4 linked regions of the Saccharomyces cerevisiae S288C genome follow. Changing the gene in region 3 together with the main gene of any one other region gives a genetic interaction. Each region holds a gene or a part of one and is shown on either strand. Other genes may lie near its edges.

What was found.
Region 1: mutations in WHI3 (region 3) and KSS1 together harm fitness more than expected from each alone (negative genetic interaction), as found in Saccharomyces cerevisiae (2 studies listed by BioGRID).
Region 2: mutations in WHI3 (region 3) and SLH1 together harm fitness more than expected from each alone (negative genetic interaction), as found in Saccharomyces cerevisiae (2 studies listed by BioGRID).
Region 4: mutations in WHI3 (region 3) and ERV29 together harm fitness more than expected from each alone (negative genetic interaction), as found in Saccharomyces cerevisiae (2 studies listed by BioGRID).

The regions. Positions count from the first base shown.
Region 1 is NC_001139.9:571,553-578,666, reverse strand, and holds KSS1 (mitogen-activated serine/threonine-protein kinase KSS1), read right to left. Parts: upstream 3,270-7,114; coding exon 2,163-3,269; downstream 1-2,162. Other genes in the region: BUD9 (Bud9p), read right to left, coding at 1-1,180; YGR039W (uncharacterized protein), read right to left, coding at 3,468-3,779. UniProt on the Saccharomyces cerevisiae protein: Together with closely related FUS3, KSS1 is the final kinase in the signal transduction cascade regulating activation/repression of the mating and filamentation pathways, induced by pheromone and nitrogen/carbon limitation, respectively.
Region 2 is NC_001139.9:1,028,042-1,039,358, reverse strand, and holds SLH1 (RNA helicase), read right to left. Parts: upstream 7,569-11,317; coding exon 1,665-7,568; downstream 1-1,664. Other genes in the region: YGR273C (uncharacterized protein), read left to right, coding at 120-644; EFG1 (Efg1p), read left to right, coding at 858-1,559; chromatin segregase YTA7, read right to left, coding at 7,850-11,317. UniProt on the Saccharomyces cerevisiae protein: Involved in activation of the ribosome quality control (RQC) pathway, a pathway that degrades nascent peptide chains during problematic translation.
Region 3 is NC_001146.8:265,633-273,241, reverse strand, and holds WHI3 (mRNA-binding protein WHI3), read left to right. Parts: upstream 1-3,648; coding exon 3,649-5,634; downstream 5,635-7,609. Other genes in the region: YNL194C (uncharacterized protein), read left to right, coding at 1-532; YNL195C (uncharacterized protein), read left to right, coding at 934-1,719; SLZ1 (Slz1p), read left to right, coding at 2,071-2,967; GCR2 (Gcr2p), read left to right, coding at 6,712-7,609. UniProt on the Saccharomyces cerevisiae protein: Involved in size control and cell cycle.
Region 4 is NC_001139.9:1,057,676-1,064,434, forward strand, and holds ERV29 (protein ERV29), read right to left. Parts: upstream 3,916-6,759; coding exon 2,983-3,915; downstream 1-2,982. Other genes in the region: BGL2 (glucan 1,3-beta-glucosidase), read right to left, coding at 108-1,049; UPA1 (putative methyltransferase), read right to left, coding at 1,340-2,365; ZUO1 (zuotin), read right to left, coding at 4,177-5,478; BIO2 (biotin synthase), read right to left, coding at 6,138-6,759. UniProt on the Saccharomyces cerevisiae protein: Constituent of COPII-coated endoplasmic reticulum-derived transport vesicles. Required for efficient transport of a subset of secretory proteins to the Golgi. The C-terminal di-lysine motif is required for exit from the endoplasmic reticulum.

The sequences.
Region 1 (7,114 bases), on a different chromosome or scaffold from region 3:
CTTCTATATTACTTTCGTATTCCTTTTCGTGTAGTTGGTTTGGACTACGCATGGTGTCCATTGCGATACCAAGAGGGACTTGAGGATTAGGAATTTTCTCTAAATCAATTTCGTTGGTATTCTTCTGCCTTTGATCTTGCATTCGAGTTCCAGAGGTTTCATTAGTTGGATTATACTGCCCATTAGAATGCACTGTATTTTTTAAAACAGCGGAAGAACTTCGCTGGTCATTAGCAAGGTCAGCTGCTTCAAAAGGCTTTAATATGTCAATTAATAGGGAATGGTTTCTTGGGGTTTTGAGGCTAGTGGACTTATTCGCTGGTATTCTGTTCCAGGCCTTTTTAGGAATTTGAAATTCATGTGGGATAAACGCTTTATCGGGAAAAGTACCATTTAGCGTGCTGTTAGGAACTCTGCTTTTTGCTACATCAACAGCCCCTTCCACAGGAGAAACAAGATCTACACCATACCGCATAGAAGGAAATGAGTATGTACCTTGTGTTTGCCTTGTAGACTTATTTCCGGAGACGGTAGCCCTTGGTCCCTGGTACGGCGCAGTTCCTTCGGGTGGTGGATAGAATAAAGAAGAAGGTCTGGTTCCCAGTTTCTCGAAGGATTTCATTGAAGATGATTCCATATGATCTCCTCTGGTCGTCCCAGCGTGCTTTTCTGCCGAACCCATATTCAACAGCACCGAAGTAGAGATGGTACCGCTGCTGCTGTGTCCATTTAGGTTAGTTTCAGCGGAAGACCCGTTTGAGGAATTTCTGTTCCTCTCATTTGAATTTGGCGGAGGTAAAGGGAATGCTGCTACTTCTGGATCTCGTCGTACTAAATCTAAAATTGAATCCTCTAGATCTCTATGTGATTCCTGATGGAAATTGTCATCTCTAGCATCTTCAAAGACTTGTTTACCATCAGTACTACTTGAATTTGTATCTCCTTTGAGGATTTCACTATACTTGCTATCATCAATATAAACATTGTATGACTTCACTTCTGATGATGGAAATGAATCAGATCCTTCGATGAACAGCGAACCAGATCTTATTCTTGCTCGCGGTTGATGGAATATTGGGTGGTCGTTCTCAGGTAAAGATGCGGATGAAGCCGTTGCCGATCCAGATGTGGATTTTGAATTTTCTGTCGTTATCGAAACATCTCTGGTTATTTTCGTCATTTCATAGGATGAAGAATGAAATTGTTGTAAAAAAAAAGGTAGTGAACGTATAAAGTTGGATGCTGTCTTCGAAAAAAAAAATAAGGTGTTAAATGAGTGGATGGTTTGGTATGCCTAAGCAAAAAGCTTTAGAAATCAAATTGAAAAATAAAATCGAGGGGAAGCTGGAGATAAAAGTAAGGCAAATGTCAGATAAATAGTTGCAAGGTGAGAGTGTACTATAATCTTTAGTAGTTGTTGTATGGTGATCCTTCGTCACCGTTAAGAAATGGAGGACAATTAAATGGAATACTCTGGGACGTTACAAGGAATAATAGTATGCTAGAATGAAAAAAATAATGGAGTCCTTCTACGTGTCAATGTACGTATGTGGCAATTAAGATAAAACTTTATAACTATACCTTAACTATTCTTGCATATATAATAATGCGAGATAAAAAATCACCAACTTTCTCCCTTTTAGAGAAATTAGCTTTTAGACTACCTTGGCTGGGTATTAGTTGTGAATATTTGGTAAATATGGTCAACTAGAAAACGAATGCGAACATCTAGCCAGGAATAAACAAACCCAGTAAACAAAACTTCTACTTAATACTTAAGAATAGAAAGCACAATGCCAAGACTTACTTGGGAGCCCATTCACTGTTGAATAGTGCTGGATAAAAGGTGTTGATATCGCCTCTTTGATTACAGTCGCGTCAGCTCTCCAAGCACACGCGATGGCTGGTTTTTCTCTGCATTTCCCGTTTAGGCAAAGCAGTGAAGAGGCTCATGAAGCCGCATTTCGTGTACTTCTGCTGGCGAAAAAAAAAAACTTGTTGCCGTGGCGCCATTTCGTTCCTTGCATTTTTCCATTGGCATGCATCGTGCATATGTGAGTTGAAGTTTCTTACTTACATATTGACCTACAGACCACAACGTGTCACTGCTAAGCTGAATATAGGGAAATTTTAGAAGTATGGCAGAAATGTTCTTGTGAATACTATTCCATGGTCTTCATTAGTTCATCGTAAAGCATGTCTTTGAGCATTTCTATGGGCACTTCTTCCTCCTCTTCCGGACGCATTATCTTGTTATCCAGTTTCCAAAATTCATCATCCAAATTAAGTGGAGGATATTCCGGCTCATCACTTGGGTCATGGTACATTGCCAGGTAAGGGTGTCTTAAAGCTTCTGCTGCGCTTATTCTTTTGTCAGGATTGAATTGAAGCATTTTGTCTAGTAAATCTATCATATCTGGATTCAGATCGGTCTTTGACCAGACGGTCTCCCATGGCAAGGGTGGCCTCATAGGTAAGTTTGCTATATACTCTTTAGCCCTCTTGGATTTGATCTGATTAAAGTCTTCGAAAGATGGAGTTCCCAAGACTTCTAGAATTAGCCATAATTGATGATGATAGTCTCTGCCTGGGAACAAAGGCTTCCCGGAGACCATTTCAGCCAAAATGCATCCGCATGACCATATATCCATCGCAGTTGTGTACTCTTGAAAAGTTAGCATTATCTCGGGTGCCCTGTACCATCGCGTTGCGACGTACTCCGTCATGAATCCTACCAATGTTTCTCTTGAATCGCTACTGCTAGCTAAACACCTCGCTAGTCCAAAATCGCAGACTTTGAGATCACAATTGGAATTTAGTAACAGGTTTGATGGCTTTATGTCTCTATGGATAACTTGTGCACTGTGAATAGACTTTAAGGCTCTGAGGATTTGGTATGTAAAGTATTGAACATGGTCATCACTTAAAGTGGAAAACCCGCTATTCTGATTATTAATTACTTTTTGTAAATCGGTTTCCATCAACTCTTCGACTAAATAAACAGCGTTTAGTTTGTCTATGGATACTGGCCTTACTTTATCCAATATACTTATTATGTTTTCGTGTTCATGGAAATACCGTAAAAGCTTGATCTCACGTATAGTTCTTGTAACAAACAATTTTTTGCTAAACGGTTGTATTTTCTTGATAGCTACCTTTATGCCGGAAGGCTTATGAATTGCTGAACATACTGTTCCGTACGCTCCCTCACCTATTAAATCTACGAGTTTATATTGGGAAGGGATATCAAAAGTTATGGTTCTAGCCATCTTTGAATTGTTGAAAGAAAAGTGAAGAAAAGATACTTTTTTGTTGAAATAACCTTTTCTATCTTTAAAAGATGCTTTCTTTAAATTGCCAAATTTTTAGTCGGCTTTTGATCTGATCCAGTGGAAAAGAGGAAAAGAAAAAAAAATACGAAAACAGTTCGGGAAATTTAACGACTGCAAAGCACAATATGTAACTGTTCAAGTCTGGCTTCTGGTCAGATAAAGTGCAATATCTACAGATTGGAAGTACTTTGGGTGTCTTAATAAAAATACATTATATATAGAAATATGCCTCGATCTGTAAATTTCTAACAGCTTCACAGCGCGTTTTGAATGTGAAAAAATCAGGAATGTGGAGGAAAGATGTTCAAAAAGTTCGAATTTGAAGAGCATACTGCTCAAACGGTTGAGGAATTCAAGGTAATCTGAGGCTTCATACATAATAAGTAGCCAATCTTTCTTTCCCCCAAGTAAGTAGCTCAGTATTACTAAGCCGGTAAAAAATAACATCTTTCATTTCTTTCACCAAGGGGAAATAGTAATATACTCATATTTTGGCTGGACTCTCGTAATCTGTCAAATTTTTTTCGTGCCGATTTCTAACTTAAATTTAGTAAATAATGTTAGTATTTACTTTTCAATTGTAGATCTACCTAGTTTCAAGATTATGTAGAAAAGAATGACAAAACATAAATACTGTTGGAATAAAAATCAACTATCATCTACTAACTAGTATTTACGTTACTAGTATATTATCATATACGGTGTTAGAAGATGACGCAAATGATGAAAAATAGTCATCTAAATTAGTGGAAGCTGAAACGCAAGGATTGATAATGTAATAGGATCAATGAATATTAACATATAAAATGATGATAATAATATTTATAGAATTGTGTAGAATTGCAGATTCCCTTTTATGGATTCCTAAATCCTCGAGGAGAACTTCTAGTATATCTACATACCTAATATTATCGCCTTATAAAAAATGGAATCCCAACAATTACATCAAAATCCACATTCTCTTCATGGTAGCGCCTATGCTTCGGTTACTTCTAAGGAAGTCCCATAAAATCAAGATCCGTTAGCCGTTTCAGCTTCCAATTTACCGGAATTTGATAGAGATTCCACTAAGGTTAATTCTCAACAAGAGACAACACCTGGGACATCAGCTGTTCCAGAGAACCATCATCATGTCTCTCCTCAACCTGCTTCAGTACCACCTCCACAGAATGGACAGTACCAACAGCACGGCATGATGACCCCAAACAAAGCTATGGCCTCTAACTGGGCACATTACCAACAACCATCTATGATGACGTGTTCACATTATCAAACGTCACCTGCGTATTATCAACCGGACCCACACTATCCGTTGCCACAGTATATCCCACCACTGAGTACTTCCTCACCTGATCCAATCGATTTAAAAAATCAACACTCTGAAATACCTCAAGCTAAGACAAAGGTGGGAAATAACGTCTTACCACCACACACTTTAACATCAGAAGAAAACTTTTCTACATGGGTTAAATTTTACATCAGATTTTTGAAGAACTCTAATCTCGGTGACATCATTCCAAATGACCAGGGTGAAATCAAAAGACAAATGACTTATGAAGAACATGCGTATATATACAATACCTTCCAAGCATTTGCCCCATTTCATTTATTGCCAACATGGGTAAAACAAATTTTAGAAATTAATTATGCTGACATCCTTACAGTCCTTTGTAAAAGTGTGTCCAAAATGCAAACTAACAATCAAGAATTAAAGGATTGGATAGCTCTTGCCAACCTTGAGTACGACGGAAGTACATCTGCTGATACATTTGAAATTACAGTCAGTACGATCATTCAGAGGCTAAAAGAAAACAATATCAATGTTAGCGACAGATTGGCCTGTCAACTAATACTTAAAGGTCTATCCGGTGACTTCAAATACCTACGTAATCAATATCGTACCAAAACGAACATGAAACTTTCCCAATTATTCGCTGAAATTCAATTAATATATGACGAAAATAAAATCATGAATCTAAATAAACCGTCCCAATACAAACAACACAGCGAATACAAAAATGTTTCTCGCACATCTCCAAACACGACTAACACAAAGGTTACAACTCGTAATTATCATAGAACAAATAGTTCAAAACCAAGAGCAGCAAAAGCTCACAATATTGCTACATCTAGTAAATTCTCAAGGGTGAACAATGATCACATTAATGAATCAACCGTTTCATCACAATACTTAAGCGATGACGACGAACTTAGTCTTAGGCCAGCAACAGAAAGAATCTAAGCCAACACACACAATAGACTCGAATGACGAACTACCTGATCACCTTCTTATTGATTCAGGAGCTTCGCAAACGCTTGTCAGATCAGCCCATTATTTACACCATGCAACACCCAATTCTGAAATAAACATAGTCGATGCTCAAAAACAAGACATTCCTATAAATGCCATTGGTAATCTTCACTTCAACTTTCAGAACGGCACCAAAACATCAATAAAAGCACTACACACACCAAACATAGCCTATGATCTATTAAGTTTGAGTGAGCTGGCTAATCAAAATATTACTGCCTGCTTTACCAGAAACACTTTAGAAAGATCGGATGGTACAGTACTAGCTCCCATAGTCAAACATGGAGACTTTTACTGGTTATCTAAAAAATACCTAATTCCTTCGCACATTTCAAAGCTAACAATAAACAACGTCAACAAAAGCAAAAGCGTAAATAAATATCCATATCCGTTAATACATCGAATGCTTGGACATGCTAACTTCCGAAGTATTCAGAAGTCTCTTAAGAAGAATGCAGTTACATATTTGAAGGAATCGGATATTGAATGGTCTAACGCTAGCACATATCAATGTCCTGACTGTCTAATCGGCAAAAGCACGAAACATAGACATGTCAAAGGATCACGACTAAAGTACCAAGAATCATATGAGCCTTTTCAGTACTTGCACACCGATATATTTGGTCCTGTACATCACTTACCGAAAAGTGCACCTTCTTACTTTATATCGTTTACAGATGAGAAAACCAGATTCCAATGGGTGTACCCATTACACGACCGTCGTGAAGAATCTATCCTCAATGTTTTTACATCGATATTAGCATTTATTAAGAACCAATTCAATGCTCGCGTTCTAGTTATCCAGATGGATCGTGGCTCCGAGTACACTAACAAAACTCTTCATAAGTTCTTTACGAACAGAGGTATTACTGCATGCTATACAACCACGGCAGATTCTAGAGCACACGGTGTCGCTGAACGATTAAATCGTACTTTATTAAACGATTGTCGCACACTGCTTCATTGCAGTGGTCTACCAAATCATCTATGGTTCTCAGCAGTCGAATTTTCTACTATAATCAGAAATTCATTAGTCTCACCAAAAAAACGATAAATCTGCAAGACAACATGCAGGTTTAGCTGGACTGGACATTACTACTATACTACCTTTCGGTCAACCGGTTATAGTTAACAACCATAATCCCGACTCGAAAATACATCCTCGTGGCATTCCAGGTTACGCCTTACATCCGTCACGAAACTCTTATGGCTATATTATCTATCTTCCATCATTAAAAAAGACAGTAGATACTACCAATTACGTTATATTACAAAACAAGCAAACGAAATTGGACCAGTTCGACTACGATACACTCACTTTTGATGATGATCTCAATCGTTTAACAGCCCATAACCAATCTTTTATTGAACAAAATGAAACAGAGCAGTCATATGATCAAAATACAGAATCTGATCATGACTATCAATCGGAGATTGAAATAAACTCTGATCCTCTAGTGAACGACTTCTC
Region 2 (11,317 bases), on a different chromosome or scaffold from region 3:
GCATTTGTGACGCACTCAAAAGTGTGATGCTGTCGTCAATTTTATAATGTTAAGAATATTAAAGCAAAAGTTTCCTAAAGTAATATCTGAAGTGCTCTAAAATCATAGTTTATCAAAAAATGCAACATTTCGAAAGTTCAGATAAGATAGAAAAGGATGATGATACATCAAGAATTAAATTACGCTCTTCTTCTTTGGCCGCTCCAATCCTCGAGGCTGTTCAAGAAGCCCAGCCTTTTGAAGAAGCCACTTTCTCTAACTTACAGAAGATACATCCGTTAACAGAAAACTCAACTTGCAATGGTTATGTTATTTACGATAAAGATGGAAATTTGAAATCCATGAAGGATACATTTGGTAGGAATATAAAAACACCTGATATTTCAAATCCTACAAGAGCAAGAAATGAAAGGCCATTGGATACAATACGTGGATTTGAATACTCCATAACAAAAGATCCCCGCTGGTTGCAAGAGCTAGAAACATCTAAGTTGGGATTTAAACCTAGACCTGGATTTGCCGTCATTAATCAAGACTCACAGGCTTCAATAAATTTATCTCAACTGGAAGAAAAAGTTATGGAAAGCCAAAAAAAAAAGGAGAAAAGACACATATCACGGCTTTCTCGGTTACTCTGCAGATGAATATAAAGATAAGTACGCTAAGATTATAAAAAGTGCTTGAAGCTCAAAAATATGTATTCCTTTAATTTCTGCGGTACCCTATGCCGGAGCACTAAGAAAAACACATTCAAAAAAATTTTCATACTCATCTCATCTCTACAATTAAACAATACATAAAACAAATATCGTGACTTAGTTATTTTACTTATATCATTCAATAAACCTAATCAATCAATGGCTAAATTACAGAGGAAGAGAAGCAAGGCTCTTGGGTCATCTCTAGAGATGTCCCAGATAATGGATGCAGGAACAAACAAAATTAAAAGAAGAATAAGAGATTTAGAGAGGTTATTAAAAAAGAAGAAAGATATACTTCCATCCACAGTAATAATAGAAAAGGAAAGAAATTTGCAAGCTTTACGGTTGGAATTGCAGAATAATGAACTCAAGAATAAGATTAAAGCCAACGCTAAAAAATATCATATGGTGAGATTCTTTGAAAAAAAAAAAGCATTGAGAAAATATAACAGATTATTGAAGAAAATAAAAGAATCTGGCGCAGATGATAAAGATTTACAACAAAAGTTGAGAGCCACTAAAATTGAATTATGTTACGTGATAAATTTTCCCAAAACTGAAAAGTATATTGCACTATATCCGAATGATACACCATCTACAGACCCAAAGGGCGTAGAATTGACAAATCTTAGAAGAGAACAATTTCTTAAATTAGTAGCTGAAAGAATGGATGCGAACACCTTAAACGTATCTTTCGAAGAGATATTGAAGGGAAAGAAATTGGATGAAGATTCCATCGGATTAACATTATCACCTGATAAAGATCATGAGGATGGATCACAAGTATCACCTACACAGGATAGAAAAGAATTGGATCAAGTTGTGGGAGAAGATGAAAAGGATGACTTTTTTGAGTAAAAAAATTCTAAATGCGTTATGTAAGAAAATATATACGAAGATGTATACTAGATAGATTTCCACTGTTATCTTTCACAAAATAATTGTTGTTTTAATTGTGTCTCACTAAGAGATTAGTTTATGGACCATATCATAACGTAATCCTAAAGCGTCATTAATAAGGGAAAATTGCAATTCTTCGCCACGAATTTCTTCGGGAATAAATAGATCACAATGTATTATGACCTCTTTATTCATTTGTTTTGGTTGACACCTTTTAATCATCAGCAGTTCATCGCCTTTGTGTCCAATTAAAAACCATAGTTCTTTTTGTATCTTAGGGAATTTATCACAATATACTTCAAACCCATTATTATGCTTACTAGAAAGGTGCTTGCTATAAAATGTTAACACCTCGTTATTTTCCTGTTCTTCAAATTTCATGCCTTCTAAAACCGGTAATCTTTGGCAGACACTGACGAAACGTTTTTTCGTATCTTCGCTTTCTGTCATTCCAAAAGTTAGTTGATCAAAAACATTTAATAATTTCTTATATCCAAACCTTCCTATTTCCTCCAAGGTTAACAGCTTTTTCTTCTTTTGCTGCGGCGTCATTTCAATGAACCCCTGCTCGCTAAAAGTGTAATCTTTGATTCTTCTCAGTTGTAATCCTGGAAGTACACTAACAGGATCGTCTTCATACCAATACCCTTGCTTTATGCATTGCATCATCTTTATCATGGTCAATACCGTATGAAAGTAACCCAATTCACTGGCGACATCAATATAAGCCTGTAGAATACGTAGAGATTGATCCAAAACTGATACGGTATCCTGGATATAATCTGCAATCGGTAAATCTACACGGCTTAAATGAGCTTGAAGTAATAAAAATGTTTTTACATGTGGATCCCACATCGGTAATTCGAATTCATCGGTAAAAGTGCTTTCAACGGAGTACCTCGATTGCTGCGACATTTCTTCATTCATGATAATTTCACCACCTCTTACAGGCAATTCATTATACTCAACAGCCAACGATAACCATCGTAATACCTCTTGAAAAGTCGCATGATCATGTATCTGTTTCAATAATTGGCGTATCGTTAAATGTGAAATATAGTAGTATGAGGATATACTTAAGAATGGCGTAGCAACAATATCATCTCCATGTAATAAAACACATTGTGATTCTCGCAGATTTTCTAATGTGCTATCTATCAAAGAACTCAAATGTTCACTGACTCCTGCTGTACTTGTATCATCTTCAATGCCATAATATGTCGGGTTATGATGCGCTCTACGAAACAAAAATGTCCAACTCAAAAAATCTAACGCTTCTTGCTTATTAGTTATGCTACCTGACGTTATTTCTGCACCTAAATGATCATCTAATACCTTGTGCAAGGAGGACTCGACAGGAAAACCAACGTTTAGGAAATGTTTATAAAACATTTTTTTGGACTCTTTTGTATAAACGATAGCAGTACCTGTAGTGTCATAAGCCGGTCTACCAGCTCTCCCCATCATTTGCAAGATATCTGTTAAATCCATATCTCTATATCCTTCAATTTTTGCATCAAAAAATTGTGTACCTTTGATGATAACCAAGTGAGCTGGCAAATTGACACCCCACGCTAGGGTTGATGTAGCGATCAGAATCTGAATTTTGTTTTTTTGAAACAACTGATGAGAAATAGAACGATCTTTTTGCACTAGACCTGCATGATGCAATCCAATACCGAACTGGAGTGATAACTTTAAAGTGTCGTCAGTGACCTGTGATAAGTAATATTGCAGTTCCTCCTCATCGTCTATATTCAAAAACCTACGTGGATTATCTTCCATTCCACATAAGTGGATCAAGTCTAAAGCCGTTAGTCTAGTTTGTCTACGCGATGCAACAAATATTAATGCTGGTTTATCAGGTGAATGTTGTTTAATGGCCATAAACACAGGTTTGTTCATTGTTTTCATCAGAGGACAGAATGCCAAATTATCTGGAAATCCATCAATGTACATTTTCAATGGAACCGGACGGACGCTTGACGGGAAGTTATACAGTCCGTGGTCCTTAACTCCCAACCAGCCAGCCATGTCGTAGGCGTTTGAAACAGCAGTTGACATACCTAGCAGTCTGACCGGTTGCTTGGTTTGAGAGGAAATATAATTCATACGACTAACAATCATTTCTAAGATAGGACCACGATCACTAGCCAACAAATGAATTTCATCCATGATAATTAAAGATACATCTTGAACAAACTTACGAGTTTGCCAATTACGGGAAATACCATCAAACTTTTCTGGAGTTGTAATAACAATGGTGGCATCATGCACATCTTTAGGATCTGGCAAAGAATCACCGGTTAACTCTACAACTTTATCTCCGGTCACTGGTGTTATTTTCTTTCTCCAGTCATCAACCCTTTCACGTACTAATGCTTTCATTGGTGCGATATAAACAATCTTTTTCCCAGGAAATGTTTTGAAGGCATGCCATATAGCCAATTCAGCCACAATCGTTTTACCAGAACCTGTAGGCGAGCCAACAAACGCATTCTCATTGGTATTGTAAAGTGTATAAAATGTCATAGTTTGCATGGGATTGAAATACTTGAAAGGATAAATTGACTCAATTAAAGGATTCTGGAGGGCTGATGTAGGTAGAGGACGTAACTTCAACAATTTTGTCTGTAAAGTTTCGTTAAATGGTCTGATTAAATGTTGAAAAGAGATGGCATGGGTCGATTCACAGCCAATCCAAGTATCCGACACAACCTTTACGACAACCTGCGGAGGCAAAGGGTCTGACAATGGGATCATGAAGTCCATTTCATGCTGATTATTCAACTGCCTTCTGTTTAAGATGAACTTTTCAAAATGAAGGATTTGCGACTTATCAGATTCTTCAACGAAAACCCAAAAAAACTGTGCATCACCATGTATCCGGGAATCCCATACAAAGTCTGGACCTAATGCAATATGTATCCTCATTACATTTGTTGTAATGGGGAAAATCTCAGCTTCTATATTAATCTTTGGAAATCGGCTCAATATTTTATATAACCTAGACCCGGCCTTCTTATTATGCACCAGCTCTCCGAGCTCATCTGCCTCTAATTCTAAAAGATGCTCCATGGAAGGTTTAGTATCTCTGATGCGTCTGATAATATTTTCAGGCAAATCAAACTGACAGAGAGGGTGATCAAAGGCCCAGAGCCTCTTTTCAATAGATTTGCAAATATTTAGCATGACGTTTGAAAATTTACCCCATCTTCTATTGACACCTATTAAAAACAATGCTCTACAAATTCTAACAGAGTTCTGAGCAACATAATTCGAATCGGATGATAGTGCTGAGTCAAAAATTCTAGTCTGGGAAATATAAGCCTGTAATAGCACGTTTGCTTTACCTTGAGGGGTGTCAAGTTGGCTTCCAATCTGGCACTCAACAGATTCATCAGAAAGTCTCTTCAACTCCTTGGATTCTTCTTCTCTAAATTTTATACCGTCAAATTCACTGCTCATACTGATCATGGACAATACATCAGCTTCGGTGGCTCTGGGATCACACATTTGATTGAATATCTCGACGGATTCGTTCAAAAGATAAAAATCAGAGGACACCCTGCCCAAATCCTTTGCAATGAAATGCATTGACACTTCATCGAACACAATCATTTGGAGAGCATGTAATCGCCTTGCAGCTACTACGATCATTTTTCTCCTCCGTTCATATAATTGCGGGTCATTTGCAATTTCCTCCCAATCAATACCGTAAGTAAAAGGATTTTTTCTCATACGAACAAACATGTATGTGTAACCAAGCCATTCGATTGCTTCATCTACATTTGTCACGCTCCCCAATGAAATTTCGGCGTTCAGGTTATCAACCAACTTGGAACCGAATCTAGATTCGATAGGGTGTTGTTGAGTAATTAAGGAAACATAATGATCCAGACGATCATTGGAAGTACATAAAATACCCGTACCATTTGCGGAACCGAAGCCCGGCCTACCACCCCTGCCAAAAATCTGAATAACATCTGAAATACCTAGATCTATGAATCCACCCTTTTTAGAATCATATACTTGTGTACCCTTGATGATAACACAATCAGCAGGTAAATTAACACCCCATGCTAATGTTGCAGTACAACACAGTACCTTGATAGCACCGTCTTTAAACATTTTTTCAGTAAGATTTCTATCTGAACGGGCCATACCAGCATGATGGATACCAAAACCAAATTGAAAAATCTCCTTCATATCCTTGTCTCTGTTCTTCACTAAACTTCTAGAATATTTATCCTTTTCGATAGGGTCAGGTGCAAAAAGGTCAACTTCGTGGTTAGATTCTGCTAGTTTGATAAAGTTTCTTGCACTTTTAACAGTTTCCTTTCTTGAGTGGACAAATACCATTACCTGGTACCCTCTTTGAATCATTTCACTCAATTTGTCGTAAGCGACTTTATCGATATTCTCTTTACTTTGTCTACTACCTGCCTTACCTCTACAGCCCAAAAGTTGCTGCTCTAGAGGCTTTGGACGGAATGATTGATCAAAATAGAACATTCCGATCTGTCTATTTACTCCTAAGAAATCTGCTACATCCATAAAATTGGGTAATGTAGCTGATAGACCGATAATACGAATCATTGATTGAGAGCTTTCTACCTGTCTCAAGGTACGTGCAACTAAAGTTTCAATAACCGAACCTCTATCTTCGTGCAGTAAATGAACTTCATCAATAATTAGTAATTTGACCTTTGAAACCAAATCGTTGTCGCCGTTTGCTTTACGGGTGACAACGTCCCATTTCTCAGGGGTTGTGACTATTACTTGAGTGGCTAAAATTTCCGCCTTTGTCAATTGCATATCGCCTGTTAACTCCCTTACTTGTATATTAAAAGGCGCCAATTTCTTACTAAACTTGTCGACGATTTCAGCAGCGAGTGCTTTCAAAGGGGCAACATAAATAACTTTAAAATCATCATATTGAATATCAATTTCATTTTCCCCGTTGACCACGGAGAATTGTTTTATTGTATTAATTATTGTCAGTAATGCAATGTCTGTTTTACCTGCACCAGTAGGTGCACAAATTAGCATATTTTCATTTGTTTTATAAGCTACGGGGTAAACAAGGGATTGTATTTGGTTTAAAGTTTCATAGGGAAATACAGTCTTGCAAAAATGATCCAAATCACTTATTTTCAATAGTTTTGTATAGAGATAGTTCTTGTTGGATGCCTGATCTGCTGCCGGAATTATAATTTCTTCATGGGTATTGTACGACATCCTTGTAGTCCCTACTGGCAAAGTGAATTTTTGACCGGCAAAGGCCATAGCTGTAGTGGATCCTGCTTCATATTTTCTGAAGACGTGTGGGTACTTGATTATTTTAGTGGCGGGATTTAATTTCCTATTCTTGGCATCCTCTGCACTTTTCAAAACTTGATTCCTGATATCTTGCTGTGTCAGGAACTCTGGCGTTGAATTGACCGCATTTTTTATTAGCAGAATCGTCGTTTCTATAGGTGTAGCAACGATCATTCTTCTATGCTGAAGTAACAGAGAAACAAGGTCTATATTCCCTGTTCCTAAAAAATCCAACAATTCTTTCTCTAACTCTTGCTTTTGATGTTTATAAACCATTTGCAGTACAGTTTCTAATAATACATTGCTGCTTAGTGTCGTTTCAGCTTCATTGATTAGTTTTCCAATTTTTTTATATACTGCAACTGCATTCTTTGTTTTGTATGAATCAATTATAGATTGCAGTTGAGCAAATGAAATGTCTTTAAACTCCTCAAATATATCATCCCAATCATTTCTATCTTGTGAGAGAACAGTTAGTTCAGTTCTTTGATTTTGTTCATCCTTTTGGACTTTTTTTAGCTCGTCATCAAAATCTGGTAAAGAGATTTTCGATCTATCTAGATTAAAGGTTTGTGAAGTATCAATCATAGATTGCATTGCAATCATAAATGATTTAGATGAATCAGCAGAGTATTCAGTTGACATCTTGAGCCGGCTATTGATGGTACGGATCTACTTCTCACAATTCCAATGGTGTTAGAAGATATTATGAACATGTTTAATTTCAATATGTTCAATACATATTCCATTCTCGGTCATTACCCGAAACGTATGCCAGAACAGTGACTGTTAAAATAAAGTAGTGGAAAAAAGCATAATATATATACAAGGTGTGGTTTTAAATCTATTTCTTTTCAAGAAAAGTGCACATTCATGTATATGAACTAACTACATTTAAGAATTATATAAACATTATGGACTCCTGCTTATTCAGATAAAAATTTTATTATTTCATCGACAGTTCCTGTTTTATCCCATGCTGATTTACTTTTCCATATTATTTTTGCAACGGACGAATGAACATCTTCTAATTGAGAAACCGTAAAATTCTGACAGTGTTCGATTAAGCATGCAGATACTTTTTTTATTTGTTCGGGCGTCAAAATAAGCTCCTTGTCGCTCTTCTTCCCTTGCTCCGGTTCCACAACCTCTTTTGGTATCGGACTTCGTTCCCTTTTTTCTACCGTTTCGTGGAGGGAATTTGGTTTGTTAACCGATTGAATTTCCTTTACGTGATTTATATTATTAGTATTAGCGTCTATTTTGCTGAAGTTTTCTTCCGTAACCTGCGTTTGCAAAGAGTCTTCATTCTCTTTTGGTTCTTTTCTGGCCCTTTCATCATCATCGGTGGTTATCTCTGACGTGCAAGTGGCCTGTATCAGTTCCGTTGTGTATTCTTCATTTGCACCGCTATCCTCAGGGATGACCGCTTTTTCTTTATCTACTGCAGAGGGAATTGCCGCAGGAATCTCCTTTTTATACAGGTTGGTATCAATTGGTTGAGGGACCTCGCTGTTATTAACGATAGAGGCTGTATTGATAGTTGTTTGCAGCTGAGCTTGCAATTGATTACCAGCAGCTACACCAAACTCATTAGCCTTGTTATCCTTTAAATCAGGTTCTTGCAGTATATTTTCTTGACTCTGTTCTTTGGCTTCTAATTCCATTGCAGCTCTTTTCTCTTCATCTTCTAAGAAAAGTTCCTGCCTTTCCAAATCCCTTTGGCGAGTAGCTTTACACTCTTGAATAAAATCCGGGGTTGAAATTTCTTCGATACCCATTTGCGCGTTGGCAAACATCTCAGAGGCCTTAATGACACGTTCTCTGTCCCCAATGGTATTTGCATCCCTGTATATCAGTTCAATGTCTTTTAAAAACTGTTTTGGTTCTGAGTAATAGCCATTCCAAAGTCTCTCTTCGACAATATCCAAATCCATGTTAAAAAACTTTCGCCCTGTTGAAACCTCCAGAATCATGTTCTCATCTTTTATATATGCAGGTTGCCAATTGGGATCATTGCTTGTCTCTGGTTCGAAAAGATGAACCAAGAAGGCATCATCAATAGGTGGTTTTCTAAACCTTTTATATCTGTTTTTAAAAAGATCCATCAAGCCTGAGAGTTTGATTTTTAACACATTTTTCAATCTCATATCTTGGTGTTGAAAAGATTTCAACTTCCTTCTTAATACCACTTTTTCAGACAGTGGCTCACCATTTTCATCAAAATTTGTTGGAGCTGCGTTTGAAGTTACTTTTTGTAATTCAGGTAACGGTTTGACTCTTCTCTTTTTCATGGGAATATCACTTGGCTTTGTTTTCAGTAGTTCAATTAAATTAGAAAAATACCTCGTTATATTCTCTTTGGATGGTTTATGCAGTTGAAAGATATTTTTATCAAAAGCAAAATCAGATAAAATACCATTTTTAACTTCAGATATATCAAGATTTTCAGCTAAGCATAATAGAAGAATTTTTTCATTGCTTTGTAAAGATCTGAACAAACCTGATAAGACTAAAATAACGTTTTCTGGAATAGTGTTGATCCAAATGTCTAAATTAGGAATAAATACAACTGAGGGCTGTCTTTTCTTTGCTTCCATAAAACTTTGCACTACAGCAGCTTCAATAGTCCTAGAACTTTCCGAAACCAAAGAGGCAAGGTCCAGGTTTTGGACGTTGAATTCTTCTAAATAATTTAAAATTGCGGCTCCGACATATTGTTGACCATTTCCCTTGGGCCCATTTATTAATAACCGAGGTTTACAAATTTGTGATTCCGCCATCGATTCGAAAAACTCATATGATCTAAAACTGGATGTATCTTCATTTCCTCCATATTTGTCATGCTCTTCTTCCTCTCCACTGTATTCTTCATAATCGATGAAATTTTGTAGCAATGATGTGTTTCTCTGAAAAGTTGTGTCTTTAATGTTCAGCATATAATCCAGCTTGTTCTTTAAATTATTAAGTTGATCTGCCAGTAATGGTTTGATTAATTCAGGTAGTGGCTGAGGAGAACTACCAGTAGATCTCGCAGATGACGGAACAATTTTTTTCAAAGCTAACATGAAATCGCTAACTTTGACTTTAATCTTAGAAGGGTCCACCAAGAGTTTATCATTTGACCTATAAATTTGAGGAAAGCTTCTTTGTATACTTATTAGTGCAGCCTCAGTGCATAGGGACCTCAGATCAGCACCACCATATCCTTTGGTCAAAAAAGCCAATTTATCAATGAAGTTGGTTGACAACGGTGAACTCCATTTCCTGGTCTGAATTTGCAAAATTTTAAAACGTGCTTTAACATCAGGTAATGGAAAATAAAATTCTCTATCAAATCTTCCCGGCCTTCTTAATGCGGGATCCACTGCATCGGGTCGATTTGTGGCTCCGATGACAATGACTTGGCCTCTATTGTCCATACCATCCATCAGCGCTAATAATGTGGAAACAATACTAGCATGGATCTGTTCTTGTTTGGAACTTCTCACAGGCGCTAATCCGTCGATTTCATCAAAAAAAATGATGGAAGGTTGATGTTTTTTAGCTTCTTCGAATAACAAACGGAGTTGTCTTTCAGCTTCACCAACCCACTTGGATAAAATATCTGCACCTTTACGCATAAAAAATGTGATCTTCCTTTCATCAGAAGAACAACTTGCTGCTAACGCTCTTGCCATAAGTGTTTTACCCGTACCAGGAGGACCATGGAAAAGAACACCCCTTGGGGGCGTGATATTAAAATTTTGATACAATTCTGGGTATAATAGTGGTAAGGCCACCATTTCCTTTAATTGGTCAATGTAGTTGTCTAAACCACCTATATCGTCAAAATTTACATTCATGTCTACGCCTAATGGATCGAGGTCTGCAATTTCTGGTTTTTTCTTCTTCTTTTTTTGCGTGTTCTCTTTCTTTGTTTTCGGTGTCACGCCAAGAGGTAATATCTCATCATCGGAAGAGTCTGAATCCAGTATTAATTTATTGTTGTTATTATCACTGAATGCAGATGGGACTTGGTTGTAAAAATTAGTATTCTTACCAAATATTGTAGTTACGTCATTGCCACCAAAAGGTCCACCAGTGGGAAAAAGCCTTCTTGTGGGACCAGAATTTTGACTAGCATTCCAACCACCGCGACCACGCCGTGCAGGTGATGGGTTATGAAAAGAAAGTGCATTGTTATTCTTATCTATAAATTCTTCTGCGTTGCTAGCAGTTAGTGGTGGTGGTAATTTGTAATTTACCGGCTTAGTTCTTTCGCGAAGAAATCTTTTTTCCCTGATAGGACTATCTTCCTGTAACTCTCTAATTTCATCAGCTAAAGTTAACGCTTCATTCCTGCTATTATCATTCTCATCGTCATTTTCTTCATTTGAAGTACGCGAATGTCT
Region 3 (7,609 bases):
GTTAATCACGTTAGTTTCGGTTATTGCCAGTTTAATCAGATACAATAGACGTACCGCCGCTCTGGCAACTGCAATGAGCTGGATCACGCTTTTCTTCATAACCCTATCCGCTTGTCTGTACACAGGATGTTACGCTAAGGCAGTAAAGGCGTTTCACCATGAGAATCGTGATGCTAGACTAGGTCCCAAGAATTTTGGGCTTATTTGGACCACAGTATTTTTGTTAATTGTAAACGCCATTTGCTGTACTATCATGGTGGCTACTCATAAAAGAAACGAGTACATCTATGACCGCAGTTTCGCTTCTACCAAGACAGTGGACTCACAAACTCCAACTCCAGTTCCAACAAATGGAGGAATACCTTCCTCGGTGCCTGTAACTGAGGTCCAACAATCTCAATCCCACCAGAATCATAGGTTCTTTAAGAAATTGAGAACGAAAAAGAGAACTGTGACTAGCGCAGGCGATGAACCAGACCGGGTTCAAGAGGAACGCGTCTATACTGAACAGAATGTTCCTGTTGTATCATAGGGTGCAAAGGAGGCTTTTTTTTCCCTTATTATTAAAGCTAGGATTACAAATAATAACAAACCTAATTGCAGCGATTAGCCTTCTCCTATTCTCTGTTGATACCAATTTTATTTATTACTAATATTTTGCACCGATATTCCACTAATCTTTTATGTTTCCCTAAATATAATATCTTTAATTCTCAACCTCTAATAATACTAATACTATACGTCAAACAATGTAATGATACCATCTAATAAAAAGAAATCGTATTTTAACTTCCTTTTAATGTATCATACACATCTTACTAACTCTTTTTCTTTTCTTTTCACTATTTCGACAGCAATGAATTAGACACAAACCAAGAGTCTTCTGCTACACAGCACGGCTTCGGCTACCATATTGACAAATCTTATGACAGGATGCTGGGTTTGGGCCAATCTGCTCAAGCATATGCAAGTGATGATGCTCTCAATATGAACCAGGCAAAGGATAAAACGTACAGCGTTCCAGGGTGTGGCAGGGCAAGCGACCTCAAATATCCTCATCGTGACGGACACTCTTCGTCTCACGAACAGCGCTCTGGAATTTTACCAACTGAATGCCCAGGCCCTACTTTAAACACCGGTGCCGGTAGCATCGGTATCCCGGGATGTGGCAAAGTCACAAATAGAGTGGTCAGTGACTATAACAAAAACGCTAGGTCTACGCTAGCCAATTTTGATAGTAGTAAAATGACCGAGGCAAGAATGAACAGCAAGAACGTGCCGATTGGTTGTCAAGACACCTCTGATCCGCACTTCAATGGGCCTATCGACCAACATGTTCCCGGTGCAGGTTCACCTCAAAGTCAACCTCATCACATCGACGCGTGGAACAGCGTTTCTTCTCGCCGTGCCGATAATAACAACCAAGACATGATGGACCCCCAAACGGCTTCCTCAGACAGGTACAATGAGAAAATGATGAGAGAAGAAAATAGCGGCGTCTCTGCTTCTTCTTACACCACTAAAGTGCAGGGATATCCCGCAAGTATTCCATCATTCAATCAGGAAACTGAGGAAAAGGAAACCTACGCCTACGGTGTGGGTGATCGGCACAATGTCCCAAGAAACCAAATTATGGATGAGACTAATCCTTCGGCTAACGTTCTAAACGCTACTGATCATAGTATTTCGCACCCTGAGAATAAGGTCTTGCATAAGTAGTTTTTGTTTTTCCTACAGTTTTTATTTATAACCAACCTTATACTTTTATATCCTTGTCTACATATTATTGTCATAACGAATTTTTTATTGGTTAAATGCAGCTATTGCGTTCTCTTTATTGCATAAATATATTCTATTACAATATGGGAGGGCATTATCAGCCTCCATGTGCTTGCGTGCTGTCAAAGAAGGAGTGCGGGGATGACAATATGAATAGCCGCCGAAATTATGCCCGGCTGCAGTTGACCGTATAAATAACAGTGCTTCAATGAAAGGACACAAAAAGCAAGATCGTCCCATTTTCTACCTTAATCAGTATAGTAAAAATCAAAAACATAATATATTACTGTTATGATGAATAAAGTAGATCAAATCATCGGTTACAAAAAGTACGAAGTGAAACTACCAAAAGATCGACAAGTAAAGAAAAATAAATCAAAAGGTGGAAATGTTGATCAAATAGATACTAAGAGGGAAAAGGATAAAATGAGAGCTTTTGGTGAAGAAAGGAAAAAGTTCTTAGATAAAATGGCTAAAAACAAAAAAAAAAATACAAGTAGAAAAGATAGAGAGAAGCCAAAAGAAGTAGAAAAAGAAAACTACAAAAGAGAAGACAAAAGGCTAAAAGAACAGAAAAAATTATCACTGGCAAAAGAATTTCGTTTCAAAGAACCGAATTCAGAAGCCATTAATCAGAACACAGCAGCTGAAAATGGTAAACCTAAACCACAGACTGGACTAGATTTTGACATAGACCATCAAACCGTGTCCAAGATCATGATAGATCAGGCTATTCAAACATCTAGTCCTCTTAATGTCCAACTCACGGAACTTTTCAATGATAACGTCCTCGACGTCTCGAAAGATAGTCAGTTTGTCCTTCAAGACATGGAGTTCACCTCCTGGGAACGACGCTGGTCAAACTGCAGCACGACCAGTAATGCGACTACGGTCTCATCAGTTCCTGATCCCAAATATAATATCAACTACAACGACATAACCTCCTTCAATTCAGTAGCGCTAATTACCGAAGATCTTAACATATCTGCATCATCTAATGGTCTGCATGAGAGAGGTAAAAAGCTACTGCAGCAAGAGATGGAATACTCAAACAAGGTCAAAAATGTCACCATCGGGCTTGAAAGATTGTGTATGGATGAAAAACCAGTCCCAGATGCAGGAATAACCATGCAACAAGCGTCGCGCTGGTCAGAATTCCCCACTTGTTGCGATCAAGCTGCTATTTAGCTTTTCTAATTTAAAAAATTTATAAACTTCTTATAGTATTTCATCTTTATATCAAATACTATTAGCAAAATAAAAGGAAAGGAAAGGGAAAGGAACTTCTTTAGACTGCTTCGCACTGATTCTATCGCCATCCTTCTTCATGTTCTCAACTATTGGATATCTGCTCTATTTAGAACAATCGTTATTGTTACCCGCGTTAAATGGGGTAACTGATTGCTGCTTTTTTTTCTCGTTGTTTTGGACCTTTTCGGACATGAGAGGTCAAAAGAAAAAACAAACACGACCAAGTAAGCCGGAATAAACAAGTATAACCACCTGATTGAATTGCCTTCTTTAAACAAGCACAGACCTCCAAAAAGAAAAGGCTTTTGAAACGCTGCTCACGCACAGTTGTTTATTCCGTCCACATATTTTACGTGTCAGTTTCCTTTCTGTCTTCTCTTTATTCAATCAATTAGCATTAAAGAGAAAATAAGTCGTGTACTTTGAAAACCTTCTGTTCCTGTTTTCTTCCCGTATTTTTCATTTGCTTCACCAGCTTTTTCTCAACTGATCATATCATTTCAAGTTAAAAGTCTTTGTCATCACTTTTCTGTGAGTTGCAAATATTTGTAAGCGTCACTTACCTAGAGCAGCCTTTATCGATCAATATTTCAGAGGGAAAAACCTGTATCTCTTAGCATGCAAAGTTCAGTTTATTTTGACCAAACAGGGTCATTTGCGTCCAGTAGCGACAACGTTGTGTCTAGTACCACCAACACACACAACATTTCTCCCAGTCATCGTTCCAGTTTGAATCTGAACACTACTTCTCATCCCCACGAAGCGTCGGGTAGAGGAAGCGCAAGTGGGGAGTTGTATTTGAATGACACAAACTCACCCTTAGCGATATCTTCTATGCTAAACACACTTGCCCTTGGAAGTATGCCCCAAGACATTGCAAGCAGCAACATTAGCAATCACGATAACAACATTAAGGGGAGCTACAGCCTAAAATTGTCAAATGTAGCCAAGGATATTACTCTCAGAGAATGCTATGCAATCTTCGCTCTTGCTGAAGGTGTGAAAAGTATAGAATTACAGAAAAAAAACTCTTCATCAAGCATCACTTCTGCCTCATTAGAAGACGAGAATGATATTTTTATCATTGCCAGATTTGAGTTATTGAATCTAGCTATTAATTATGCCGTTATTTTGAATTCGAAAAATGAACTCTTTGGACCCAGTTTTCCCAATAAAACAACCGTTGAAATAATAGATGACACAACAAAAAACTTGGTTTCATTCCCATCATCTGCCATTTTCAATGACACCTCAAGATTGAATAAATCGAACTCGGGAATGAAAAGGCCAAGTCTGTTATCACAAAGATCCAGGTTTTCATTCAGCGATCCATTTTCCAATGATTCTCCTTTAAGCCAACAGCAATCTCAACAGCAGCAGCAACAGCCACAACAGCCACAACAACACTCTACGCAAAAACATTCACCACAACAATGTAATCAACAACAAGTGAATTCTTCAATACCGTTATCTTCTCAAGGCCAGGTTATTGGGTTACATTCTAACCATTCACATCAAGATTTGTCTGTGGAATCAACAATTCAAACATCTGATATTGGCAAATCTTTCCTTTTGAGAGATAACACTGAAATTAATGAAAAGATATGGGGCACAAGCGGTATACCTTCCAGCATCAACGGTTACATGAGCACTCCCCAACCTTCTACGCCAACTTTAGAATGGGGAAATACTTCTGCATCCCAACATGGTTCTTCGTTCTTTTTACCCTCTGCAGCATCGACAGCCATTGCACCTACGAATAGCAACACCAGTGCCAATGCAAACGCCAGCTCCAACAATGGAGCCAGCAATAATGGTGCTAACCAGGCACTCTCTGCCAGCTCGCAACAACCAATGATGCAAATTGGTAACACGATTAACACTTCCCTAACCTCTTCAAATTCATTGCCTCCATACGGTTTAATGTCTTCTCAATCGCAGCACATTTCAAATATGGTAAACACCTCTGATATGAACATTACACCTCAAAAACAGAACAGATTTATGCAACAACCCCAACCAGAGCATATGTATCCTGTGAATCAAAGTAACACTCCTCAAAAAGTACCGCCCGCAAGATTAAGTTCAAGTAGAAATTCACACAAGAATAACTCTACTACCTCATTATCCTCAAATATTACTGGATCTGCCTCGATTTCTCAGGCTGATTTGTCACTACTAGCCAGAATTCCACCTCCTGCCAACCCTGCTGATCAAAATCCACCTTGTAATACCCTTTATGTAGGGAATTTACCCTCCGACGCTACTGAGCAAGAACTAAGACAGCTATTTTCTGGTCAAGAAGGCTTCAGAAGACTATCATTCAGGAATAAGAATACCACATCTAATGGTCATAGTCACGGACCGATGTGCTTCGTTGAATTCGATGATGTCAGTTTTGCAACCAGAGCGTTAGCTGAATTGTATGGTAGACAGTTACCTCGCTCCACTGTGAGCAGTAAGGGAGGTATCAGATTAAGCTTTTCAAAAAACCCACTGGGTGTTAGGGGCCCAAACAGCAGAAGAGGAGGCAGTGGTAACCCAAATCCTAATGTAAATATGCTTTCCAGTTACAATTCTAATGTTGGTCATATAAAAAACTAAAAAAATGGTTCCGCAAAAACCTGATTTCCTTGCATGTATCACATTATATGCATTGCTTTTCATCTTTCCCCCACTATAATAAGAATAATATTTTCTGTCGCATTTTTTCTTTTTCTTTTATTATTTGTTATAATAATATTTTCTAAACCGACTAATAATAAGAATAACATCGATAATACTTTATCTCTTCAATTACGTTAAATTATCTTTTTACTATTACATTACAACGTGCATATAACAGAAATTTTTTCTTTTTCTGTCTAACATTTGAATTGTACTATGAATTAAACCCGCCATCTTTTTTCTTAACTACCATTTTGCGAACTCCTATACCGCTTCTGCAACAACAAGAACTTTTATTTTCAATTTTAATGTGCCATTCATTCCATTTTGCTTGCGCTAATGTGAATAAGATTGAGAGGGAAAAGTCTCACTATCGAATATCGCTCTTTAGTGTGATTATTGTCATCAAAGCACCAAGTGCTTAGGTGAGGTCATATCCGACAAATGTTTTGAAGAGAGAATATCTTTTTTTTATGCTGCCAACTTTTATTCTTTCCTTGTTTAAAAAACTCTGCCTTTGGATATTCTCCCACTATATATATGTATTAGCCTTACTTTTATTCCAGAACTCATTTTTATAGAAGTATATATCGGTATCGACTTCAATGTAATATTTTCAACCCTATGCTACAAGAGCAGATTAAAAAAATATGGGCTACCAGTGGCAAGAACATATTTGATATTTCGAAGTTCTACTTTGTTTATGACCGAACTGATCAATTTTATGAATGTCTTTCAATGGAATCTCAATACGGGTAATAACGTCATATTTCTTATTTTTCTTGGACAATTTGTCCAAAATAAAATTTTCACGACTTTTCTCCTTCAAGTACCGCGACTTCTGCGATAGTTGTCCGTTAGACATAATAATCATTAACGCATCCATAAGGTGCTTGCGGTCTGTATTTGACTTTCTTCACATTCTTACGCCTAGACTGAATGGGAAAACAACCAAGAAACCAAAAAGGAACCTGAGAACACAAAGAGTATTTGACGAAAAGTTACACTCACATAATGCATCACCAAACTAAGTTAGATGTATTCATAATCAGAGCTTATAATTTACTGTCTAACGAGTCTGTCATTAGTGGTGCTTCCTTGCAGAGTGTTACAAACTCGCCACAGACGACAACGAACACGCCCTCAGGTATGGTTAACGGGGCGGTTGGAACAGGGATAGCTAATCCAACAGGGTTGATGGGGTCTGATAGCACACCTAACATCGATGAGATTATAACTAGCACTGGTAGTAATGCTCTGACGAAAACCAACTCAGATAGCGCTAATGGTACGCCGAATGGTAATTCAAGTTCTACCTCAGCCATTAGCAATGCAAGCAATCCTGCCACTACTGGTAATAATGCGAGCTCTAGTGCCACCTCAAATGGAATATATACGCAAGCGCAATATTCTCAACTTTTCGCCAAAATATCAAAACTATATAACGCTACACTATCATCTGGGTCAATTGACGATAGATCAACATCACCAAAATCGGCAATCGAACTATATCAAAGATTTCAACAGATGATTAAGGAACTAGAGCTGAGTTTTGACGCAAGTCCTTACGCAAAATACTTCCGCCGGTTGGATGGAAGGCTTTGGCAAATAAAGACAGACTCAGAATTAGAAAACGATGAATTGTGGCGATTAGTCTCAATGAGCATATTTACAGTATTCGATCCTCAGACCGGCCAAATTCTAACTCAAGGACGCAGGAAGGGAAACTCCTTAAATACATCAACTAAAGGCTCCCCATCAGATTTACAGGGAATAAACAACGGGAACAATAATGGGAACAATGGTAATATTGGAAATGGGAGTAATATTAAGAACTATGGAAATAAAAACATGCCAAACAACCGAACGAAAAAAAGAGGCACCAGGGTGGCTAAAAATGCTAAAAATGGGA
Region 4 (6,759 bases), on a different chromosome or scaffold from region 3:
ATAAGGAAGAAAAGAAGGGATAACATTTTTTTTTGTTACTTTTTGCTTATTCCTCACCTAAACAGAAGGAAAAAGCCATTCTTGTTTAAAGAGTATTTTTAAAGCGTTCATGAAAAGTCACAGTCCAAGGAGTATTTCAAATTGTCACTTGAAGTGAAAACACCCCAGTGCTTCTCGACATCAGAGGTACCAGAGGTGTTTGGCTTCCAATCTTCATCAAAGGCTTCAAAAACAATAACGTTAACACCCCAAGCTCTCATGGAACAGATACCTTCTTTCCAGAATTGTTTGGCGTTGTCAACAGATGGGTAAGAACTTTCAAAGTTGGTACCATCAGTTGGCCAACCGGTCTCACCAACCCAGAAGGTAATATCGGTAGAACCTTTAGTAGATTGGATAACCTGTAGAGCTTGCATAATATCATCAAAGAATGAGTAAGAGGCATTTTGCATGGTTTGACCTTGCCAGTAGGAGAACGCGTTAGCCATAACAAAATCGGAAGCTTCGATAACGGCAGAATTGTAACCAGCAACCAAAACATTCCAGGAATCGACAGTACCGACTTGCTTACCAGAGTATGACTTTCCGTCAGAATCGGAAATGTCAGCAACGACACTACGGACGTCATTAATTTTGTCTGATAATTGAGAGGCAGTCAAATCGTTACGGTATAAGGCTTCAGAACCAACCAAGAAACCAGCAACAGTGGATTCTTTAATTTTTGGCAAATAGGTTTGCAAAGCAGCCTTTTCAGCAGCGTAATGACTGTCGTCTGTTGGCCAAACACCGACAAAGATAGTAAATCCCTCAGCTTCAGCAGCAGGACCTAAGTTTTGCAAAGTGTTACAATCTGAGGCAGCGTAAACTTTGACGGTGGAAGTGTAGCTCTTCAAAGCTTGTAATTCGGTTTCATAGTCGGAAGTGGACTTACAAGTACCATCGTTGTTCTTGACACCCAAGTTAAAGGCTAGTTCACCAATAGCTGAAACTTGGGAGGCTGTGAAAAATAGCGCAGTAGCTGCAGTAGCGAGTGTAGTAGAGAAACGCATCTTTGACCGTTTTTCTTTTTGGTTAGTTGTCTATCTCAATAAACTTATATTGAAAAAAACAAGAAGAAGTCCAAATTGTGAATGAGGAAAAGTTTCTTTATAAGGAGGCAGTTAAAATCAAAATAAACAAATATCCTCTTGTTTTCTTCGTGACATTTTTCTCTTTTTCAGGGCGAAAAACTGAAAGAAAAATTTTAACGTTTCTTTTACTAAAAATAGAACTGCATATCCGTAGAAAACGATGATTATATAACATAAATAGTAATATCAGTTATTAATTGCTATTTATTTCAACTTGCCCAACGCTGAAACATGGTAAGAGCTATGGGTAGGCTATCTTGAATGGGTATATTTCCCTGGGGTACGGAAGCAGGGAATTGCAGTTGACCAGAAAAGTAATGATGCAAAGAAGAGGATTCTAAGTCAGATCTCCTGAAACAACGTTTTAAATGGCCCCATTTCCCGAAGATAAGCAGGATATTACAGGGTTTTTCTGATGTTGAACTTTTTTTCAGTTTTGCGATGTATGGTAGCTTTGTTTCTACCTTGTGGTACTTTGACAACTCTTCGTCGTAGTGGAAGTCACCACTGTTGACCCAAACGATCTTTGTGTAACCTTCGGACACCTCATTCAAAGTGCTTGCCATTCGAACATGATAGCCGAGTGGTTTTCCTTTGTAAGCATCTATGGGTGACACTACTTCTTTGCGCTCTGTATCAACTGTTACACGCGCAGTATTGGGAATATTTTGGTTAGATAACGTAATAATTTGATTCTTTCCTATATACACCAAATTTGTTAGAGCATCATCAGATTTACCTTTTGAGCTATCTCGTGCGATTGATAAGCCTTCCTTGTAGTGTTGTTCGGCAGATGCGTTCATAAAAGGTAGCTGGTTCAATGGCGGAAAGGTAGATGCACACTTTAAATATAACTTGTTTTTTTTTTTGAATGTAGTATCCAGTAAGTTTGGAGGCGTTACAAAATATTGTAATAGTGTGGCAAGTAATAAACAATCAGAGATAGTCTCCTTTGATCTTGATTTTTTTTCATGCTTTTTATCTTTTGACTGGTCTAGAACTATGATTTCTTGAACATTGAACAATACAGCTGTCCGAGCTATTTGATATGCAGTAAATGTAACTTGCTCCAAATTATTACAATTGTCGATAACAGTTGTCGGTATGCATATGGAATATTTGACCACATTAGATTCTATATCCATGATTTTTTTTAGCTTCAATAGGCCTGTCTTTGCCTTTTTGGCAGCCCCCTCTTCGTGCTTAAGGCTCTCGGATTTATGTTTTACTGCCATCTTCCCCTATTATGCTACACTTCCCTTGGTAGATGTGTTTCACCTCATTGGTATCAATTACCTCCTCTACTTAATATCCCAATTTCAACATGGTGTTTTCAAGCGATGAGGTGGAAAAAATTTCAAATAATATGTTTGGGTGTGCCCATTATTGCGGTTTACAATAGTTGCTAAAGAGCTATTTATTAGGAATTTTTAAACTTTAGAGATTGCTTAAAGCGACTTTAAAGCGTTTCTTTGGAAAGATAGGAGAGCGGATGCTATCTCAAGAGCATCTCTTCAATGATTTAAGCAGTGACAGTGTAAAACAATTACGGACCAACGAAAATGGTCAAATCAAAACTAATTACAATAAATAAGTTCTATCATAATACAAGGGAATTCTGTGCGATATAACCACATTGATTGAAGGTAGAATATACAAGCCAACGTGAGACCAATCAAATTTCGTTAAGTGCGCCTATACAAAAAGAAATCTTTTATGTAGATATGACAGTAAGAAAAGTATATATGTGAGCTAGCAGGGTATTGAAAGCGATCACAAGAAGGCAAAACGAAATAGATTGTTAGAAGATGAGTGAACAGAAGGGACATAAAGAAAAGATTTCCTTTACAATCTAGTAAATCTTCTTCTTTTCATCAACGGATAATTCACCAGCGCCAGTATTAGTAACTAATAGAAGCCCACCAATGATGCTTAAGTTCTGGTAAAACTCATACTTCAAGAAATCTCTCTTAGTATTGTTATAAAACCAGTAGTTGTTTAGCGTGATATTGTAAAAAGTTAGTATCAAACCCAACATAATGGATGCGAATTTTGTCTTGTAACCAATGGCGAAACATATTGTGCCGATAATGGTCAAAACAACAGTAAACCATGATTTACTGAAAGTGAAAGCGATAAACATTAAAACAATTAAAATTCTACCAGCAAACAACAGGTAACCCTTCGCTTTGTCGTTTTTGCTGTTTAATTCAGGAAGCATACCGAATGTTGTCTTGTTTTGAACAATTGAATCGCTGAATGCAATTAACAACCCACCAATAACACTAAAGTTTCTTAGGACAAATGATGAACCCGTAAACAACCCATAAACTAATGCTTGAGAAATAACGCAAGCACATAACACACCGGTGGCATAATTGGTTTGCTTTCTTAAAACTAACAAACTGGCGCCAATCAACATGGAAACGGTAACAACCACTAGAAACACAACGACAAAGAAGTATGGGTAATGCTTCCACTTATTCAGATAAAAAATTTGATCTGACCATTGTGATAAGATCCTAAACGAATCTTCATAAAAGGTGGCCACAATGAAAAATCTTGACAAACTTGGAATGTAAGGCTTCAATTTATAAACAACTGCATTGTCAGTGAGCCCCTCAATTCTGGAGGCAAACTTTTCAAAAGAATGCTTCCATTGCTTTAAGATGCCAGAAGTGGATTGGTTCTGGTTTGATCTGAATTGTGCACCGCCAGAGTATGGTCCTTGCGATGATGACATTGGCATACCGCCAAAATTTCCAATAGGTCCTCTGTAAGACATTGATCTATCCTTTCAGTTTTGTTTTCACTTTTTTTGAGTCGTACTAATTGCAGCTATTGTAAGTAAATAAGGACACCTTTGATCTTTCGTTAAAGGTGTCCTTTATTTTTCGCCTTTCTCATTATTCCCTCTTCTCTCATCTTCTAGAAATACCTAAAAAGGGAACCGTTACCCGAACCTATTCATTATAGAAATAAAAGAGAACGTTCTCTATAATATTCGTATACATTCGTATATATTCTATTCCATTTCTTACGGTATTCACACGAAGTAGGACAACAAGCTGGATGGTAGTTTGCCAGAATCGACAATAGTCTTTGCAGATTCCTTCAAAACTTCCTTGGCACCAGCAGCATTGGCCTTGATCTTATCGGCGGTGGACACTAACTCTTCGTCATTCAAACTGTCAACGATCAAACCAACTTGTTCGTCAATCGTGGTGGCCTTGTCAGCATCACCAAAGTAGTCAGCTTCCTTAGCAGAGTTACGGATGGCTCTCTTGTTCTTTTTCTTGGCGGCCTTAGCAGCTTCCTTAGCCTTCTTTTTGTCAGCTTTTGCGGAGGCGTTAGCCTTGGCTTCAGATTCAGCTTTAGCCTTCGCTTCAGCTTCGGCCTTGGCCTTAGCTTCAGCTTCAGCTCTGGCACCGGCTTCTCTTTCCCATTTTCTTCTTTCCTTTTCCTTCTTCTCTTCTTCTTTGAACATTTTGATACGGGGATCTTCACTGACAGCTCTTTCAACAAGTTTGACCAATCTAGCGTTATCAGCAGTCTTCTTCTTGTCTCTTGCGGCCTTGTTCTTTCTTTCAATGTAACGCTTGTGGTCTCTGTTAGAAGAGTCATCTGGGACATCTTCGTCCAAGAACTCAAAGGTTCTCCAGGAGTCAAATCTGTGCCAGAAAGCATAGAATTGTTCAACTTCCTTCTTGGAAGAATCTTTGTTACCTAGAGAAGGAATAGGAGTCTTCTTAGAAAAACGAGCTTCAGCTTCGAAAACGGGGCCCCAAGCTTCATAAAAGTCATAATCGGTACCCTTCTTTGGAGGAGGAACATCGGCAACAAAATCACATGAGTCGTACTGAGCTCTCTTGTTGGAATCAGTCAAAGTTTCAAAGGCCTTTTGAATAATCTTGAAAAAGCCATCTTGGTCCAAACTACCACCAGCAGCAGATTGCTTGTCTGGATGGTACTTGACAACTTGTTTTCTGTGAGCCTTGATGATTTGACTTTCAGTAGCTCTGAAACGCAACTTAGACAAACCCATAGCAGCATACAAATCGGCAGTTTTCCAGTCTCTAGCATCATGAGTCAGTAAATCTTCATCGGCCAATTCAGTGTCGAATAACAACTCATCTGGGTCGACATTGGATTCATCAACGGTTTTGACGTTCTTTTCAGCTTCAATTCTTTCAAATTCAGACCAGGTGTGGTTTCTCAAAGTTCTTTGAGCATGTTGCAAAAAGAACTTACCAACCGGTTCGACCGGACGACGGACGAATGGGGTTTTGGTAGCGGAACTGTTGACTTCAACAGTGATGTCTGAGGTTAGGGTAGGTAAAGAAAACATCGTTACTCTTGTTGGTATATGTGAGACAAAACGAAGATTTTATAAAAGCATCGGTAGGAAAACCTTATGAAATTTTCTCTACCAGCTCTTGAAATAAAAATTTCGAACTCTTTGCAAAATTTCATCGAGAAAAAAAAAAGATTCGTATTTGCGGGTAATATTTTTTGGACATTTGTATTAGGAGCGTTATGTTCATTAATGTCATCCAAAAGATAGTTATAAATCTATGATTGTATGGTTTCTTTGACATATTTATAGTTAATATATATATATATATGTGTTTAATTTTATAAAAATTCCATCGTTTATATTCGATTATTTTTATATGTCAACCTTTTTTTTAAGAAATGTTCATATTTAGTCAAGTTCTTAATGAAATGAACGGTTGAAAGTACAAGGCAACTATCATTTCAAGATATAAAAAAATTGCCCAAAAAAAAAAGGCCATTTGATGAAATGTCTCATCGCGCTACGATTTCTGCTGTAATCAGAACTAAATGCGTGATCGGAAGTAATATTAGATATTGGATGCATAAAAGATAAAACGCCAGCTAACGATGGCAGAATAAATAGGTAAATATATATATATATAGGTTTTCTTAATAAATAAGGGAGAAATGTACAGTTAGAATCGTAGAATTATCCACATATCCCTATCTTCAAGATCTGTCGTACTTAAATGCCTCCATAGGTTGCAATCCCCATTTAGCCAACATTGCCTTGTCTTCGTCCCAACCGTTACACATTGTCGTCAGCATTTTCTTACCGGTGAAGATACTGTTACAACCTGCCATGAAACAGACAAATTGCTCTGTTTCTTTCATTGTATAACGACCAGCGGCAAGTCTTATAATGGCCTTTGGCATAACTATTCTCGCTGTGGCAATGGTTCTCAAAATTTCGTCGAATTGCAACTTTTTACTCTTTGGATCGGCAAGTTCCTCAGCCATTGGAGTCCCTTTGATAGCAACTAGTCTATTAATTGGTAGGGACTCAGGATGAGGAGACATATTGGATAATGTGTAGATGAATCCTATATGGTCGTCTTCGCTTTCACCGAGACCCAAAATACCACCGGTACAGGCTTTTATTCCAGATTCTTGGACATTCTTGATGGTCTGTAACCTGTCGTCGTAGGTTCTCGTGGTGATGACCTTACTATAGTGTTCTCTGGAAGTGTCGATGTTATGGTTGTATGCAGTCAAACCTGCATCTTTCAATTGCTTTGCTTGATCTTGATCAACCATACCTAAAGTAACACACGTTTCTAGCCCCATATCA